Linked DNA regions of Macaca mulatta. The protein of the gene in region 1 interacts with the protein of each later gene in a pairwise test. Links are inferred from orthologs where the notes say so. Each region holds a gene or a part of one and is shown on either strand. Other genes may lie near its edges.

Evidence for each region.
Region 2: the proteins of ATXN1 (region 1) and EIF1AY interact in binary tests that used the Homo sapiens proteins (3 or more experiments, as listed by UniProt). The link is inferred for Macaca mulatta from reciprocal best matches to the Homo sapiens genes ATXN1 and EIF1AY.
Region 3: the proteins of ATXN1 (region 1) and PIAS1 interact in binary tests that used the Homo sapiens proteins (3 or more experiments, as listed by UniProt). The link is inferred for Macaca mulatta from reciprocal best matches to the Homo sapiens genes ATXN1 and PIAS1.
Region 4: the proteins of ATXN1 (region 1) and VSTM2L interact in binary tests that used the Homo sapiens proteins (3 or more experiments, as listed by UniProt). The link is inferred for Macaca mulatta from reciprocal best matches to the Homo sapiens genes ATXN1 and VSTM2L.

The regions. Positions count from the first base shown.
Region 1 is NC_133409.1:166,757,257-166,762,321, forward strand, and holds part of ATXN1 (ataxin-1), read left to right. Parts: coding exon 1-984; intron 985-5,065. UniProt on the Homo sapiens protein: Chromatin-binding factor that repress Notch signaling in the absence of Notch intracellular domain by acting as a CBF1 corepressor. Binds to the HEY promoter and might assist, along with NCOR2, RBPJ-mediated repression. Binds RNA in vitro.
Region 2 is NC_133427.1:8,127,849-8,132,913, reverse strand, and holds part of EIF1AY (eukaryotic translation initiation factor 1A, Y-chromosomal), read right to left. Parts: intron 3,921-5,065; coding exon 3,817-3,920; intron 2,111-3,816; coding exon 2,060-2,110; intron 1-2,059. UniProt on the Homo sapiens protein: Component of the 43S pre-initiation complex (43S PIC), which binds to the mRNA cap-proximal region, scans mRNA 5'-untranslated region, and locates the initiation codon. This protein enhances formation of the cap-proximal complex.
Region 3 is NC_133412.1:45,638,567-45,643,631, reverse strand, and holds part of PIAS1 (E3 SUMO-protein ligase PIAS1), read right to left. Parts: intron 3,655-5,065; coding exon 3,210-3,654; intron 1-3,209. UniProt on the Homo sapiens protein: Functions as an E3-type small ubiquitin-like modifier (SUMO) ligase, stabilizing the interaction between UBE2I and the substrate, and as a SUMO-tethering factor. Catalyzes sumoylation of various proteins, such as CEBPB, MRE11, MTA1, PTK2 and PML.
Region 4 is NC_133415.1:90,805,922-90,810,164, reverse strand, and holds the end of VSTM2L (V-set and transmembrane domain-containing protein 2-like protein precursor), read right to left. Parts: intron 2,398-4,243; coding exon 2,125-2,397; 3' UTR 1,027-2,124; downstream 1-1,026.

The sequences.
Region 1 (5,065 bases):
AGCCGGCTGCAGCAGGCCATCCAGGCCAAGGAGGTCCTGAACGGTGAGATGGAGAAGAGCCGGCGGTACGGGGCCCCGTCCTCGGCCGACCTGGGCTTGGGCAAGGCAGGTGGCAAGTCGGTTCCTCACCCGTACGAGTCCAGGCACGTGGTGGTTCACCCGAGCCCCTCAGACTACAGCAGTCGTGATCCTTCAGGGGTCCGGGCCTCTGTGATGGTCCTGCCCAACAGCAACACGCCCGCGGCCGACCTGGAGGTGCAACAGGCCACTCATCGCGAGGCCTCCCCCTCCACCCTCAACGACAAAAGCGGCCTGCATTTAGGGAAGCCTGGCCACCGGTCCTATGCGCTCTCACCCCACACGGTCATTCAGACCACACACAGTGCTTCAGAGCCACTCCCGGTGGGACTGCCAGCCACGGCCTTCTACGCAGGGACTCAACCCCCTGTCATCGGCTACCTGAGCGGCCAGCAGCAAGCAATCACCTACGCCGGCAGCCTGCCCCAGCACCTGGTGATACCCGGCACACAGCCCCTGCTCATCCCGGTGGGCAGCACTGACATGGAAGCGTCGGGGGCAGCCCCGGCCATAGTCACGTCATCCCCCCAGTTTGCTGCAGTGCCTCACACGTTCGTCACCACCGCCCTTCCCAAGAGCGAGAACTTCAACCCCGAGGCCCTGGTCACCCAGTCCGCCTACCCAGCCATGGTGCAGGCCCAGATCCACCTGCCCGTGGTGCAGTCCGTGGCCTCCCCGGCGGCGGCTCCCCCTACTCTGCCTCCCTACTTCATGAAAGGCTCCATCATCCAGTTGGCCAACGGGGAGCTAAAGAAGGTGGAAGACTTAAAAACAGAAGATTTCATCCAGAGCGCAGAGATAAGCAACGACCTGAAGATCGACTCTAGCACCGTGGAGAGGATCGAAGACAGCCATAGCCCGGGCGTGGCCGTGATACAGTTCGCCGTCGGGGAGCACCGAGCCCAGGTAATGTTGGCCCGGGTGGCACAGGGATGGGACACCACACCGCAACGCCATCGTCATCTCCTGGCAAGACGAATTGCTTCTATGAGGCAGGATTAAGGGTTCTCAGGTACACCTAGACCTTAGACTCGGCCTTTCCCAACTGCGTTCTCTAGAAAAAATAAGCCCCACTTCCCCATGACCTCTGCTGTGTGTAATGAATTGATCTCCATGCATGGAAAGTGGGGCTAGTTATGGAGTCCTTGAGACAATTCAGAAACTCACCACTTTAGTTGTTTCTTGAATTCTGTGGTCAGGATGAGGAACCCCGATTAGGAAAGGCTGCTGGACATCAGGTCCTTCCAGCGGTCATTCTGCACTTTTTCCTACCAGGAAAAGACAGAGGATGCCGCTGGAGTGAGTGGATTAGGTGCTGAAGCAATCACATCCCATTGCAACATCCATGTTTTAAAATGGATGCTGGGTGCAGTGGTATATGCCTTTGGTCCCGGCTACTCCAGAGGCTGAGGCAGGAGGATCACTTGAGCCCAGGAGTTCGAGGCTGTAGTGAGCTATGGCTGAACCTGTGACTATCACTGCACTCAAGCCTGGGCAACATAGCAAGACCCCGTCTCTAACATATATATAATGTCTTACTATTATTTAGGTATGATAAGGCCAACAGATAGATCAGGAGACAACTCTCTTTAATGAGATAATTTGTTATACTCTCTGATCCCGAGAGGAAGGAGCACTCTACACCAAGAAGTGTAGAGCACCATAAAGTGGGGGGCACCTGGGGAAGCACCAGGTGGGTCAGGAGGCAGAGAGAGTGAGGGGAAATATGGCAGACAACAGCCTTTATTGTGGTTTTCATGAGGCAGGATAAACAGGTTTAGGATTGGCTAGAGTGGATAATTCCAGTGTGCTCTGGGGCATAGGGGCTGTCCCTTGTTGTCTGGCGGCTGGTGCTGGGGTGAGCGATACAGGTGGAAGGTCCAGGCACAGTGGGTCACACCTGTAATCCCAGCACTTTGGGTGGATCACCAGAGGTCAGGAGTTCGAGACCAGCCTGGCCAATATGGTAAAACTCCGTCTCTACTAAAAATACAAAAATTAGCTGGGCGTGGTGGTGGGCGCCTGTAGTCCCAGCTACTCCAGAGGCTGAGGCAGGAGAATTGCTTGAACCCGGGAGGCGGAGATTGCAGTGAGCCGAGATCAGGCCACTGCACTCCAGCTTGGCCAAAGAGCAAGACTCTGTCTCAGACAAAATAAAAAAAAAAAGTTAGCCCCAAGTGTGATGGACCAATATAGGAGTCTGTTGGGGAGTGGGCTCTGGACTGGTTGGTTTGCATATGAAAATCAGGCTTCTAGGAATTAGCTAATCCTGGGAGAGACTATACCTCTGGGATCCGCAAGACCCTAAAATATCAAAGCATCAGAAAGTAAAAGCATGGTTAATACAATCTGAGAAGTCAGGGCTGTCCCAGGTGACCTGCTGGGCTTGGGGTAAAGTCATCTGTAGCCAAGATGAGTCACTTGAAGTATGGTTAGCTGTCTTAATTTCCACAGGCTCCTTCAATCCACCCTTTTCCAGGTTCTTAGATTGATTACATGCATTTATTCCACAGCCCGTTTCTTTCACTGCCCAAGTTGCTGGGAGTCCAGCAGGTTCAGCCTGCAGCTGAGAGCTTTCCTGGCTATCGAGCTCACTTTCTACAAGTGTTTCCATCTAGGATTTGAAAACACTCAAATGGGACAGAGCCTCCTTCCAGCTTGAGTTGAAAATAGTCATGCAATAGCTGCTATTTGGGACATTCAGATAAAATAAAACAAGAAAAAAAGATAAAGTAATTAATGGTTTGAATTATTTTGGGCTTTTTTTTTTTTTTTTCATTTTTGAGACAGTGTTTCTCTGTCTCCTAGGCTGGAATGCAGTGGTGCAATCATAGCTCCCTGTGACCTTGACCTCCTAGACTCCAACGATCCTCCCACCCCAACCTCCCTAGTAGCTGGGACCACAGGTGCATACCACCATGGCCAGCTAATTTAAAAAGTAAAAAACATTTTAGTAGAGATGGGGTCTTGCTGTGTTGTCCAGGCTGGTCTCAAACTCCTTGGGCTCCAAGCAATCCTTCCACCTCGGCCTCCCAAAGCCCTGAGATTACAGACACGAGTCCCCATGTCTGGCTTTTTTGAGCATTTTTTAAAAGCCCAAGTGAGCAAAGGACCAAATCAGTTTTCCAGAACTGCTCCTGAATGACAGGATGTGGGGGCTTGCACAAAGTCAGGGCCCCGCATTGACGAGAGCTTTTAGCCCTGAATACTTTTCTTTGTATTATGAGATGTCACTGTGGGTTTACAGTCTTTGGAAGAGCCCAAGAAAGATTTCCCCAAAGATTTGATTTAAAAAAAAAAAATCAGGATTTTTAAATAAATGACATAATAATAGAGCTCACCAGCCCTCTGTAGTGGCTGTTCACTTCCTGCATGAATGAGGGGTGGGTACTAGGAGAAAGAAAATGCACTGCCGTGAGCAAAGCTGACTCTTCACAGACCCCAGGTGAAACACGGAAAATAAACATGAGCGAAAAGTCATTGCTTTTCAGGGTACTTAGAATCCTTAAAACATTTTTGTGAACAGAGGCAAGTGTGAAAAGAGGTTTTGTTTAGAAACACGACTGGTTCCTTGCCGGCCAGCATCTCCTTCAGCTTGAGAACGAAGGCAGACACTTCAGCTGTGGGCCACACCTCGCAGGCCTGGCAGCCTCCACAGAGCCCAGGCTCTTCTATTCTTTCATTTTTTATTTATTTTTTTTAATTTTTATTTTATTTTTCTATTTTTATTTTTATTTATTTATTTTTTGTTTTTTGGAGACAGAGTCTTACTCTGTCACCCAGGCTGGAGTGCAATGGGGTGATCTTGGCTCACTGCAACCTCTGCCTCTTGAGTTCAAGTGATTCTTTTACCTCAGCCTCCCAAGTAACTGGGATTACAGGCGCAGACCACCACCCCTTGCTAATTTTTGTATTTTTAGTAGAGACAGGGTTTCACCATGTTGGTCAGGCTGGTCTCGAACTCCTGACCTCAGGTGATCCACCGCCTCGGCATCCTACAGTGCTGGGATTACAGGCACGAGCCACCGCGCCCAGCCCCTTACAGCCCTCTTCTGTTCATGGGGGGGAAGAATCTAGGTGTGTTTTTCCCTACTCCAAACTTTGCAAAAGTATTGATTGAATGAAAGAGAAATTGGCTTCTCCATGAAGTCAGAGCCCTGTTCTCATGGTTTTTCCCATAGTGAGATCACTAAGTCCCTCTCCTGACAGCCAGGGTGCAGGTAGAAGTGTTGTCAGGGCCTGTTCGCAGGTCTGTGGGGTCGGGCCCCCATGGCTGTGTTGCATGCCGGGAAGGGCTTCTGCAAAGAAAGGCACGTGTGCTGAGACCTGCTGAAAAGGCAGCTAGGGCTTCACAGTGTAGAAACAAAAGTGCAAGGCCCTGACGCAACCAATGATTTGTCACTTTACCGAGGAGCCTATCAGAAATCGGCTGACATCATCGCAGCTAAAATACTCCACCAGCTGTGTTTGCCACAAGTGACAGGTTCAGAGTCAGCGGAGATTCAGACAGAGAGCATGAGAGGGGGAGATGGGAGGGAGAGAGATAATTCATATCTGAACTTAATTGAGGTTCCAAAGGCTACATCCTTCTCTCCCTCTGCAGTGCCCTCCTGAGGGCTCTTCTCCTCTAGCCTGAAGAATCTTCCTGGTCTTCTCAACGGGTTAGGCATCGCTGACACCGCACCCACAGAGAAATTCAGAAATGTGCAAATGGTTGAGCTTACTAAGCAAAATCACAAATTTGATTGGGGAAGTTGTGGAAGAAGAGATGGTTTTCTCCAAAACAGATGGCATTGTGACTCTAGGCAGAAATCCTGCATGAATAGACTCTTGAGGATGCCTGACCTCATAAGACCCCCCCCCCAACATCACACCCCCAGGGAAAGCCATGTGATACGGTATGGTGGTGACAGACCCAGAGGTGCGGCTTTGGGTCTCTGGCAGGACAAGTTACTTCACCTTTCTGAGCTGCAGCTCTCTCCTCTCT
Region 2 (5,065 bases), on another chromosome or scaffold:
CAGCTCACTGCAAGCTCCGCCTCCAAGGTTCATGTCATTCTCCTGCCTCAGTCTCCGAAGTAGCTGGGACTATAGATGCCTGCCACCACGCCCAGATAATTTTTTGTATTTTTAGTAGAGATGGGGTTTCACCTTGTTAGCCAGGATGGTCTTGATCTCCTGACCTCCTGATCCACCTGCCTCGGCCTCCCAAAGTGCTGGAATCTGTGGCAATTTTTTAACATGCCTTAAGTGGTAATACTAGTTGGGACAAATAATAACCAAAAATCTTGGAAAAGCTTTGGAATGAGATATCCATAGGAAATTTGTAAAGTCTAACATACTTCTGGCAAATCTTAAAGGCCAAATATGTGTACAGGGTAGCGCACACGATAAAGAAAGACATAGGAAAGCCCTAATATTACCCAACTGAACTTCAGATCCTGCACAGCAAGAAATGAAGACTAAGGAAGAGGTGTCAGTTGACTGACATTGGCTGAATGTTGAAAGTATTCCTCTAAATGTACAATATTCCTCTTTAAATGATTAAAATCTTGCTCATTTTAATGAAATCTTAATTGAAACATGAACTGCCCACTAAACTAACCAACTATTCAATGGCCAAAGAATTAGTTCAGAAAAGTCACCAAACAAGCAGTACCAACAACAACGCTGAGAGGTAGGAATCTGATTTCTAGAACTGCTATGTTGTAGTTAAAATGTTCAGCTTAAAAAAAAAGAAAGAGAGACGTAAAAAAGTGACTCAAACACAGGGGGAAAAAAAAATACTATTCCTGAGGAATCCCAGAAGTTGGACTTGGTTTATCTGAGAGATTATAAACATATTTAAAGACTTAAAAAGAAATCCTGTCTAAAAATGTTAAGAAAATTATGAAAATGGTATTTCACTAAACAGAAAGTCAATAAAGACACTGAAGTCATGCAAAAAGTAGAAATTCTCAAGATGAAAAGTAGAGTAACTTCAATATGCCACTTACAGTAATGAAAAGAATCAGACAAAAGATCAACAGAAGACTTGAACATTATAAACCAACTACATTTAACAGATGACTACAGAAAACTTTACCTAATATTAAGAGAATAAAAATATAGACATAGGAGTACTTTTTCAATGTGGTTAAGCAATGGTGATGAGTTCCATGGATAGAAATCAAATGTATTTTACAGACCTATAGCATGTAAACAGTTTCAACACTGCAGATTAAACAGTTACCCCACCACTGTCTTTGTTATACACTGCTCACTTTAAATTTATAGCCTGTACTTTACAACAGTTTGTACCGTAACTACTTGGTACGCATATCTTAACTTTACACTACCAAACTATAAAACTTTTAAAGGAGAACCAACTTACTCAACTGCATCAACTAGACTTGTGGTTTCCCAGATGTGGATTTCAAGAACTTTAAATTTCAAAATATTAATATTAAAAATAATTTTAGGTAAATGAGTCTCCAGATTACTAAATTTTCCTTTGCCAAATTAGAACACTAATAAAAATTACTACCTTATATATTATCTTTCTCATTTAAAAAAAGGTTATTAAAATATATATTTAAAAAGTAAACAAACAATTGTGTTCCATGAAGAACATCCTAACTATGTTATCTTCTAATGTGACTTCAGAGCATTGAAATTTCAGCCTGCACCAATACTATTTCACAGACTGGCATTTGGGAACTACAATGTCTGAAATACCTCGCTGAATGCCTGAAACACCATTGGCCTTTAAATGGATTAGGACAGAATGTTCTACAGTACTTGCCCAAGCCTGCAAGAAAATATTTACTGCACATTAGCAATGAAAACAAAGAATTAAAAAATTTATGTCTTTCCACAAAAATACATATACCCTTAACTATCTGTGAGAATTATTTCAAATTTGAAAAATACTATAGTCTTAAACACAACTGGCCCTAAACAAATGATGATGGCAGGCAGAATGGTGAGAAATCATCCTGGGCTGGAACGGGTCAAAGATGCTAGTATATAGTACCTTCCAAACATTAACAACTGCTTAAATACAAAGTCACAACACAAATTTAAATGTTATTTTTACCTGATAGTCTCGTAGACCAACCAATATAATGTCTGAAGTATTTATCCAAACCTGTAAGACATTTACTGCAGATTATTTTAAAAATAAAAACTTTCATTAAATTTTTAATTTAATAAAAATCAAAAGAAAAAAATGTTTAGTGAATCTAAACATTTTTACTAAAGTACAAAACAGGTATACTATTCACCTAGTGTGAAAAAATAATAAATTAATTAGATGCCAGGAGAGGTGTCTCATGCCTATATCAGCACTCTGGGAGGCTAAGCCAGGAGGATTACTTCAGTGCAGGAGCTTGAGAACAACCTAGGCAATGTAGAGAGGCCTAGACAACACAGTGAGACCTCACCTCAAAAATTAAAAATAAATTAGGAAAAAAACACTGTAATATGTATCTGTAGTATAGTTGTATGCAGTACATAGTTAAGGTACGGCATGAAAAAACTACGGTATCCAGTTGAGTTTGTTAAAATTTTCTTACTTAGAAAGTTAAAAAAATATATAACAATTTTATCTCAATTACTCAAGAGTTTAAACTGCCAAAAGATCCTTTGTCTCAGAAATTGAGAGACATGTAATTGTCCAAAATACAGATATGTCTACATAAAATGACTAAAAAGCGCCCAATCTACATAAATACAGCCCCGTTCTTGTCTTAATGTTTGTGTTCCTCAAAAGATTTATGGTGAAATTTGAATCCCCAAGGTGATGGTACTAGGAGGTTGGACCTTTGCGAGGTCATTACACGATGGGGGCTAATCACTCAATAATGGAATCTTTGGTTTTAAAAAAGAGGTCCAAGGCAGCTTGTTCATCACTTCTACCATGTGTGGACTAAGCCAGAAGGCACCACATAATAATCAGGAAATGGGTCCTCACCAAATGTTAAATAGATTTCTCTTTCTCCAAAACTATGAGAAATAAAATTTCTGTTTTTTATAATCTACCCAGTCAATGAGCAGCCCAAATGGACTAAGAGAACCCCTAAAAGTGCCACTAATTTGGAAAAGAAAGAATGTTAACATATCAAAAAGATTTTTTATTTTTATTGCTTTCTGAGATAGAGATTCGCTCTATCACCCAGGCTGGAGTGCATTAGCACAATTTTTAGCTTATGGGAACCTTGAACTCCTGGGCTGGGCTCAAGCAATCATCCTGCCTTAGCCTCCTGAGCAGCTGGGACTACAAGTGTATGCTGGCTACTACTTCCACAGAGCTCAGCCAAAAAAAAAGTTATTATTATTTTAATTAAAAATCTGAGTAGTAGAGACTTTTAATCAGTGTAAGTTATAAAACTACCTGATGTGGTATTATAACAAATAGATTGTCTAACATATTCCATATTCCAATTTTCATAGTACCACCTAAAACTATTTCCCCCAATCCAAAACCTAATGAAGGGATATGCACCGATTAATCTCTTTTAATCTAAAGTAAAAAGGAAGATTTTTCATTCTTTCACAGCATTAACATTTAATTGAGTCAAGACCATTTGTGTTATATATTAGATTTGTCTGGTTTCTTCAATACTAAGGTAGACATTTCTGGCAGGAATACAACAGAAGTTAAACAAAGAAATTATTCTTTAAAAGTAAATCTAAAAGTTATCAAAGACTTTTTCTTTATTCACATTGTCACATGGATCATTGTTACATAAATTATTTTGGGAACTCACAAAAATAAATTGCTTGGACCATGTATTTAAAGCAGAGACTTTTTTTTACAGCAAACTTTTATGGAAAAGAAACCCACACACCTACCTTTTTTCTCAATTTCCCTCTGATATGGCATAACCTCTTTACACCATCAAAACACAGTGCTTCCAATCGTCCATTTCCCAACATTTTGATTACCTGAGCATACTCTGAGGAGAGGAGATTAAAAAAAGGTTGAGATCTTGTTCAACATTTGTTAAAATGTAATGACTAAAATTTAGCTATTGGGCCAGGTATGGTGGCTCATGGCCGAAATCCCAGCAATTTGGGAGGCCAAGGCAGGTGAATCACCCAAGGTCAGCAGTTCAAGACCAGCCTGGCCAGCATGGTGAAACCTTGTCTCTACTAAAGATAGAAAAATTAGCTGGGTGTGGTGCCAGATGCCTGTAATCCCAGCTACTCAGGAGGCTGAGGCAGGAGAATGGCTTGAACTCAGGAGGCAGAGGTTGCAGGGAGCTGAGAAAACACCACTGCACACCAGCCTGGGTGTCAAGATCAAAACTCAACAACAAAATAAATTTACCTGCTAATAAAAGCTTCATTTACTGCTAAATTGGATCAAACTACATACAAAGAAAAACAGCATAAAACAAACAGCAAAAAGCCTGAATAATTTATTCAGACAGTAGTATTTCAAAATGACACACATTCTAACTTTAGGGAAACCAGGTAATTCTTTATCTGTCAACTTCTACACCTCTCCCAGCTATGCTCATATACTTTAACGCCTTTATATTTAGAGTAAATAAAACACTAAGTCAAGTAACTTGTTCAGGATTACAAATGCCATTTCCAATGCAAGCTATTTCTGCTACTAGAGGCATTTTAATTACCTATTCATTTTGAGTAAGTCAACTGTTGTTGTCATGATTGTACACTCTACTCTTGAACATCAAAGTGGCACATTTCAAAATATACACTACAATGCTTCATCAACCTCTCACATATGAGCCCTAACTCTATCTTCACTCTCCTTAAACTCAAAAGTGACAAAGAGAAATAATAGCTTAACTATTAAAAATTCCTGTTTACTTTAGAATACCTTGGTGAATACTCTAAAGTTCTTAGAAAATAAGAATGACAGGCCAGGCATGGTTGCTCATGCCTGTAATCCCAGCACTTTGGGAGGCCAAGACAGGTGCAATACCTGAGGTCAGGAGTTTGAGACCAGCCTGGACAACATGGTACAACTTCGTCTCTACTAAAAACACAAAAATTAGCTGGGCGCAGTGGCACACACCTCTAATCTCAGCTACTTGGGAGGCCGAGGCAGGAGAAATGCTGGAGCCCAGGA
Region 3 (5,065 bases), on another chromosome or scaffold:
ACAGAGGTTGCAGTGAGCTGAGATTGCACCACTGTGCTCCAGCCTGGGCAACAGAGCAAGACCCTGTCTCAAATAATAAAATAAAATAAAATAAAATAAAATTTTAAAAATAAATGTTATGAGGCCGGGAGCAGTGGCTCACACCTGTAATCCTAGAACTTTGGGAGGCAGAGGTGGGCGGATCAACTAAGGAGTTCAAGACCAGCCTGGCCAGCATGGTGAAACCCTATCTCTACTAAAAATAAAAAATTAGCTGGGCATGGTAGCACGTGCCTGTACGTCCCAGCCACATGGGAGGATGAGGCATGAGAATCGCTTGAACCCAGTGGGGCGGAGGTTGCAGTGAGCCCAGATTGTGCCACTGCACTCCAGCCTGGGCTACAGAGTGGGGCTCTGTTTCAAAAAATTAAAAATAAAAATAAAAAATAAATGTTATGAGAGCATGTGGAGAAAGTGAAATTGATTCTGGCTGTGGAAGAAATATACAGATGAAAGGAGGAAAGCCTAGAAAGATAAATGAAAAAGGTTAAAGAAAAAGAGCATCTGAAATAAGCCTCATAGAAAAAAACAGAATTGAGATAATGACAGGCAAAAGTAAACAATAAATTAAATATCTTACTTTACAACAACCTTTTACTTCACCTCTCAATTCTTACAGTTAATTATGGACAATGAAAAGAATACTTTAATTATGGCTCTAAAATAAAGGCCTTAGAATTATTTTTAATTGATTTAAAGAAATAACAAAATGATTGTAAGAATGAACGAGAATTATCTAAAAAAATGGGAATTATCAGAACTACTGTTTCCATTTTAGTTAGAAATACAAACCATGCATGAAAACATTCAGTTTACATTTGAACATCTTAAAATTTCTTTAAATCTGGTGCTTAAGACCACAACAGAAGGGAAAAAATGAAAAACTAAATGTGCCTGTCCCATTCTGGACTCAGTGATAGCTGTGATCAACTAGCCAGCTGGTGTTCGAAACTATGTTCTTAAAAACTTGATTTTAAATGTATGTATGTTTAGAAAGAAAGAGAATGCTGGAAGCTATTAAATTTTTCAGAAAACATGGTTTTCTAAAAGATTTAAAACAAATGAACCACTGGCAAAAATAATCATTTAGGAAACTAAGTTCTGTGACAAATGTAGCCACTTCATTTACAGAAAAAGTCTTAATAATGTTAAAGAATCTGTAAAAACAGAGCCTTAAAATATACTCAGTCTAAATAAACCCTGAAGACTAATTACATAAAATCTTTTTTCAATAAATATTTTTCACATTCACTAAGCATTCCCCTGCAACAAATATTTATTGAGCCAATAAACTTCCACAGATTACTTTCTGGTGAGATCTTTTTATGCATATTCAAATTGGTCTGTTTTTAATTCTATAACAATGAGATACTGAAAATCTATTTACATACCACTAAGCAATTCTACACCACCTATTCATTTGGTGACTTTCTGTGAATACATACCACAAACAGCAGATTTATTCATGGAAACTGGCATTCAAATCAAATTATCCGTCAATTATTGTTATTTGTGACAGTTATGTTCTATAAAATCACCACAAACACTGAATTTGTGAATATATAATTGCTGCTACTAGGGGAAGTATAAGGTTAAGTTCCTGCAAGCCCCTGGTCACAACGTTTTCATCAACTGATCAATACATAACACATATGTACACATACATATATGTACACATACAGACCATATATAGAGATATATAGATAGATACAGATATGGCCTTTAATTTAAAATGGGAGATAGATAGATATATATATCAGACAGACAAGAAAAGATGCTTATGATATATTATTAAGGGGAAAAAAGGGAAGTTAAACAATACTATGTATATGATTCCTTCTGTAAAAAAACAAGAAACAACTTGCTTGTACTATATATGCATACACACTAAACAGCTAACAAGGAAGGGACTTTGGCAATTCCATTTTTTACAATGAGCATGTATCAGTTTTATAAGCATACAGTAGATTCTCAAAAAATGTTTTCTTATTATGGCCACTTAAAAAATGAAATAATGTGATACAAAACTCATGTTGTTTCAAATGATTCCTATAATCTTCATGTACTCAGGTAAATTCTGCTACATATAATTAAGAACAAACACCTCATATTTCAAAGATAGAATTTCAGTAAAACATTTTCAAAATGTTCTCAAAAATTCGCAAAAAATGTTCTCAACACTTGCCAATCCCCCAAACTGAAACATTCAATGATTTGTAACAGGGATTCACAAGCTTTCACTATACGGGTAAATATTTTGCGCTTTGCGGGCACAGATGGTCTCTGTACATATTCTTTGTTTTTCTTTCTTCTTTTTTTTTTTAATAACTCTTTAGGAATATTTTTCAGATTTCTTAGCTCAGAATCACACAAAAACAGGTCACAGACTGGATTTAGCTTGCCAGCCATAGTATGCCAACAAACCAGCATTTAGAAGTCTGATATTTTAAATATATTACACCAAAGGCGTCAGAGGTCACAACAGTTGAGTTTTATTCTACATTAAGTAAATAAGGTAGCATTATACCAATTAAAATTACAAGTTAATATATTGAATTCTATATGCTAGACTACAAATCAAATGATGTAACAACACAGCAAAATAAATTTCAAGCATTTATATTATATAACTGTAATCAAGAGTGTGCATGTGCATGCTTATAAAGCATGCACTTCTCCACTTGAAAAAAATCAGCTGAAATTTAACTACCACACACATCAAAGCTCAAGTCTCCTTTTACAATCATTAAAACCATTCACTCATTTAAATAATCAAAACTAGTAAGTGACTTGTTTTAGAGATCATCAATCCCTGAAAATTAAGAACTAATCAGAGACTTGTAGTGACTTACTCGCTTTTAATTTTCTAATTTATAAGAGATATTGTAAAATAGTAATCAATCTTCTAAAAGACTCCTCTTTGGAAGTTTATATTCTTGAAACTTTTTAATATTTACTGTGTCAGTAACCATCAATATACTACCTTTTTTCCTCTGAAAGATAGCTTTTATATATTTGATTTTATCTAAATTTGAAAGATCTTCATTATTATCCAGCTGTTACTATCAAATGAAAATTTCATTATGAATAATAAACTGGGTCAAAGTAAAAGTCTAAAATGAAAATTCATCCTGCAAAAGTAACCAAATACCATCATACAATAATCTTACCTAGACTGGTGGGTTTTATCAGTTCATCCAGTAAATCATAAAACGGTAATTTTTGAAGTTTTATATCCGGATGGACTGGGTGAAGAGCTGATGTAAGATGTGGGAGTTCCAGTTCATGTTTAGGTCCCAGAAGAGAAACAGGGAGTAATGGCGATGATGCAGGGTGACCATCGTAAGTGAGCTGTGGAATGGTAGATGGAGACAAAGTTGCTGGCATAGGACTTGAATGTACGTTGGGGATGGACAAGTCTGCAGGCGTCATGATTTTCTGCGGGAACCGCCGCCTATAGAGTTCCTTAATTTTCATTTGTACAGCAGGACTACAGCCAGCCTTTAGCAAATGCAGGGCTTTTGTGAGAAGTTCGTGTTTGCGTCCGTGCTTGTTCCTCCCAGCGTAGCCCAACAGTACTTGGAGTTCAGAAACTCTAAGGCTCATAACCATTTGCTTAGAGAAAAAACAAAATGTAAAACATTAGTATTCCAATAACATAATTTACACTATTAAATGACACTTTATTATAACCCCCTTCCTATGGTTTACTTAAGTAAATAAATGCCAGTTCACTTATAATCCTAATTATTTCAAACTTCAAATTTAATCATTTAACATAAGTAACCAAAAAAATTTAAAATTATTATTCATAAATTGACTTCTACCCTTGGTTATAAGAGATATAGGATAAACTATACACCAGGGAAAACCACACCTCACTTTATTCCACTGTTTTGATGAAACTGTCAGGTATTTATCAAGCACTTATTGAGTCTCCAGGAGAATGTCGAATGCTATGTAGACGGTAAAACATAATGATGTGCCCTCAAGAATATTTTGTTTTCTTGGGGAAAATTATAAGTATATATGAAACAACAAACAGTCCACCTCAAACACCAGATGTAGCCAGGATATCAATAGCTATTATCAAGTGTTACATTCTATACTAACTCTGGAATTTGTAGACTTAAGTTATACCTTTTGTGACCAATTATATATCAGATACTCGATTTGATATTTTCATATGGAATGTCATAATCTTTACAACTCCCCAGGGCATTATCCTGCCTGATTTACATATGAGGAGACAAGTTCAGAAAGGTTAGATAATTTATAAAGCCATAAAGCTACTAAGGAGTACTCAGGATTCAAACCCAGATATGTCTGATTCTAAAGCCCATGCTCTTTCCACTAAACCATTAGGAAAAAGACAGAGCTGGACTCATATTACTGACTCTCACTTAACTTGCATGGCCAAGTTAGAAGTCCAGCAATCCAATTCATATGCCATAATGTATGAGGCTGCAGTAAAGAAATCTATTTAACTTTGTTTACCTATGTTCACAAACTTATTTGGTCACTGTTTCTCCTTTTTCCCCACCTACTAATAGGAAATGCCCATCTAATACCAATCCTCCCATTTTAAAGTGGTGGAAAATGGAATCCAAAGAGAAGAAATCACTTACCCAAGATCACACAGCTATTAGCAGAATCCTAAAAGACTGCATCACCACTGACAGGGAGTATTAGGATAAAAAGACACATGTAAGCTTACCATTTGCTATTTCCCCAACTGATTCCTTCACCTCATACCAAATACACAAAAGCTATGCTGCCTTCCCTAACTCACCACCACTCACGATGATGACACCAGCCAATTCTTTGTAAGTGGCAAAACTATTAAGCAAAAACTAAAATACTGAGGAGAAAAGTATATAAAGAGCTTTATAAGCAACACAGCTGGTTAATCAAAGAAATACAAGTCCTTCCTCTACTTCTCTGGCTTGGAAAACTCTTTCCTCAAGGTTCAGCTTTTGTTAGCCTTTGCCCATTAGACCTGGTAGGATGATTTTTACTCTATTTT
Region 4 (4,243 bases), on another chromosome or scaffold:
CCACCATGGCACACATTCACCTGTGAAACACACCTGCACATCCTACACATGCACCCCGGAACTTCAAAAATAAAATGACATACACCTAGGTAGTAAGACTACAAAAAGAACATTAAGAATGGGATTACCGGCTGGGCACAGTGGCTCACACCTGTAATCCCAGCACTTTGGAAGGCTGAGGCGGGTGAATCATTTGAGGTCAGGAGTTTGAGACGAGCCTGACCAACATGGCGAAACCCCAGTTCTACTAAAAATACAAAAAAAACAAAAACAAAAACAAAAAAAACCTGCCAGGCACAGTGGCTCACGCTTGTAATCCCAGCACTTTGGGAGGCTGAGGTGGGCAGATCACGAGGTCAGGAGCTCGAGATCATCCTGGCTAACATGGCGAAACCCCAGCTCTAATAAAAATACAAAAAAATTAGCCAGGTGTGGTGGCACATGCCTATAGTCCCAGCTACTCGGGAGGCTGAGGCAGGAGAATCACTGGAACCTGGGAGATGGAGGTTGCAGTGAACCGAGATTGCACCACTGCACTCCAGCTTGGGTGGCAGAGTGAAACTCCGTCTCAAAAAAAAAAAAAAAAACCTTAAACGTCGGGACAGTGGCTGCCTCTAACAGGGAGAAGGGATGGATGGAGGTGACACATGAGGCTTGGGGAGGTTCTCTTTTGGGGTGCTGTGTTTGGTAGGTAGTGACTACACAAGTATTTGCTTTACATTATTTACAAAACTGTGTAAACATGTTTTATGCAGTCTTCTCTGTGGGTGATTATCTCAGAGGCAAAGAGTAATTCGAGTGCCTGGTAACAGGATTGGAGCTGAACAAAAGCTGGTTGTCTCCCACCCTCTCCCTCTGCCCCCACCGGTCCTGTGCTCTGCACTGCAAAGCCAGGCGCTGCTTGGGGTGCAAAGCAGGAGAAAGATGCTGAGTGAGGCGTGGGTGTGAGCTAGCCACCTGCTTTCCCGCCTCCACCCCACACACCGCCCCCAGGCACAAATGCCCCAGAAAGACACTGCCCAGAGGTTTTTTTAAAACCGCTTTATTCAGGTTGGCTGGTAATCACGGACTGGATCATGTATACAGGGCACTCCACCCCTAGGCAAAGCCCTCGGCCTCTCCCACCTCCCCCACATCATCACTGAGCAGCAACCAGAGGTGCGAGCCAATTCCAAGGGTAATTGGATCCAATAGAAATATTTACAAATAACCAGGGGGCAGGTGTCCCCCTGATAGGGAATCGTAAGGGAATTGAGTACCAGGGGGCCCTTGGCTCCCAACAGCCCCAGGCCCTGGGGTGGACTTGGCACAGGACCCAAGAGGGGGCTGGGGCATTGGGGGCCGGCAGAGGGGGACTCCTGGGAGAGCCTTGAAGACCCTCAAAGGGGTCCTGCTGGTGTAAAACTCTGCCTGGGGCCGTGGGTCCGAGGGGAAGACCCCTCCCTTCTGACTTGCCTTGTGACAGGGCAGAGAATCCTGGATCCCCTGCATCCCTGGAGGGTCGCACAGGGAGCTGAACAGGAAGGACCCGCCAGGAGGTGGTGGGGCGTCTCGCTGTTCCCGCAGGCCTCCGTGAGTGACCCTGCAGAGCCACTGCCCCAGAAGGGCCCTCCTGGGAACTCTGTTCCCTGAGTCTTCACCAGGGGAGAGGCCCTAGTTCTGCTCAGAAGACTCAAGTTCATATTCAGGGAGGGGTCACTGTCCACACCCCCAGGTCCAAGTGAGGGATGGTAGGAGGAGGGAGGTGAGGCTGGGGGCCCCGGCTCAGGACAGGATGGGAACAAGCAAGCAAAGCAAAACACTGGACTCCACAGAAGCTGGTGACAGGAAGGGGGTGGCCCTGGGCCCCAGCATGGTCCCCGCCCCAGTGTTCAGGGCGGACGGCCCCTTGGTGCCCAGGGCCACCTTCTCCGAGCCAGGTCACCACAGGGGTCTGCAAGGGCAGGGGTGGGTGGGGCTTACATGCTGAGCAAGGGGTGGTGGAAAGAGGGCCGACATGGTGGCCACAGGCGGCCTCAGGGATAGGGCGCGGCTGGACGCAGGCAGTCCGTCCCCAGTGGTCCGGCGGCTCCTCATGCACTCTGTACAGCGTGGGGGCGGGTGGGCAGGGGCAGGGGCATCAGTCTAGAGGCTGCAGGCCTCCTGGTCCACTGAGCGCTTCCTCAGCTCCTTGCCTGGCTTGGGGGGCGGCGGGGCGGGCGCGGCCGGAGGGGCTTCGGGCAGGTGCAGGACGGAGTTCTCCCCGGGCTGCACCCGCAGGTAGGCCTTGACCTTGTGGTGCCGGGCCTTGCCGTCGCTGAAGTCGATGACGCGGCACTCGTAGGTGCCTTCGTCCGTGGGCTTCACCCGAGACAGGCGCAGCTTGTGGGAGATGTTGCTGCCCACCACCTTGACCACCTGGGGGTGACAGAGAGACCGTGACCTGTCTATCCCGTGACAGTGGGGGAGAAGAAGAGTACGGGGGTCCCAGGATCCTAGGACTAGAGCCCCCAGAAACACTCCCACAAGGGCCCACCGAGGTTTGCACAAGAGTGAGTTAAACAGCAAAAAAGTAAAAGCAACTGCCATGTCCATCCACAGACTGCATAACTAAGCAGTGGTCTGTTCCCTGCATGAAGCACTGCAGAGTGGTCTGAAAGACGGAGCTAGAACTAGGCACATGAGCTCAGTGGCAAACAGCAGAGGGAAAGCTCTCACTGCTGCCTGCCCCCAGGGGATGCCATTTATGTAAATTAACACAGAAACCTACTCTATACTGGTTTTGGGGTCTTCCGGGTGTGGAAGTTTAAAATAGACAGGAGGGAACACCAGGACCTCCTCACAGTGGTGGACTCTGGGGCAGAACACAGGGGAGGAAGTGGACCTGGTATAGACTACAAAGCAAAGTCTTCATTTAGTCTGAAAGTGTACATTTCCTAAAAAAAAATAATAGAGGTGCCTGCAGTCCCAGCTACTACTCAGGAGGCTGAGGTGCGAGGACTGTTTGAGCCCAGGAGTTTGAGGCTTGCAGTGAGCCATGATCACACCACTGCACTCCAGCTTAGGTGACAGAGTGAGACCGATCTTTTTTTTTTTTTTTTTTTTTTTTGAGACGGAGTCTCACGCTGTTGCCCAGGCTGGAGTGCAGTGGCGCGATCTCGGCTCACTGCAAGCTCCGCCTCCCGGGTTCCCGCCATTCTCCTGCCTCAGCCTCCTGAGTAGCTGGGACTACAGGCGCCCGCCACCGCGCCCGGCTAATTTTTTGTATTTTTAGTAGAGACGGGGTTTCACTGTGGTCTCGATCTCCTGACCTTGTGATCCGCCCGCCTCGGCCTCCCAAAGTGCTGGGATTACAGGCTTGAGCCACCGCGCCCGGCCTGAGACCGATCTTTTAAAAACCAAACCAGGCCAAGTGTAGTGGCTCATGCCTGGAATCCCAGCACTTTGGGAGGCCAAGGCAGGCGGATCACTTGAAGTCAGGAGTTTGAGACCTGGGCATGTTGCCTGGGCAACATGGGGAAACCCTGTCTCTCCTAAAAATACAAATACTAGCCGGGGGTGTGGTGGTGCGTGCCTGTAATCCCAGCTACTCGTGAGGCTGAGGCATGAAAATCACTTGAACAACCTGGGAGGCGGAGGTTGCAGTGAGCCGAGACTGCACCACTGCACTCCAGCCTGGGCGACAGTGCGAGACTCTGTCTCAAAAAAATAAATAAATAAAATAAAATAACACAATAAAAAACAAAACAAAACAATATAAAGGCTGATGACAAATATATCGGAATGCTGAAAACTATTTACTTGGGGGGAGCAAGGATGTTTGTTATATTTGCCTTTGTACTTTGACTTTTTATTTGTTTGGGTTTTTACATTTCTGTTTTAAAATGGGAGTGTCACTTATACAGAGTAAAGTGCACACAGCCCGAGGAAATGTTTCCTGTGTAACCACCATCCAGAGCAAAGCATGGGACATTCGTGACCCCCTAGAGCACACCCTTCACTCAGCAATACTTCCCCCGCTGGGGTCCCCCGCTTTCTGACTGACTTCTGTCACCATAGTTTTTTTCTGCTTTGGAACTCTTGTATGTGTGGCTTCTTTCCTGTGCCTGGCTTTTTCAACACACTCTGTTATCGGTGAGATGTCTCCATGTTGCTGCCTGCATCTATTTGTTGGTTTGTTTGAGACAGAGTCTCCGTTGCCAAGCCTGGAGTGCAGTGGCGTGATCTCAGCTCACTGCAACCTCTACCTCCCAGTTCAAGCAGG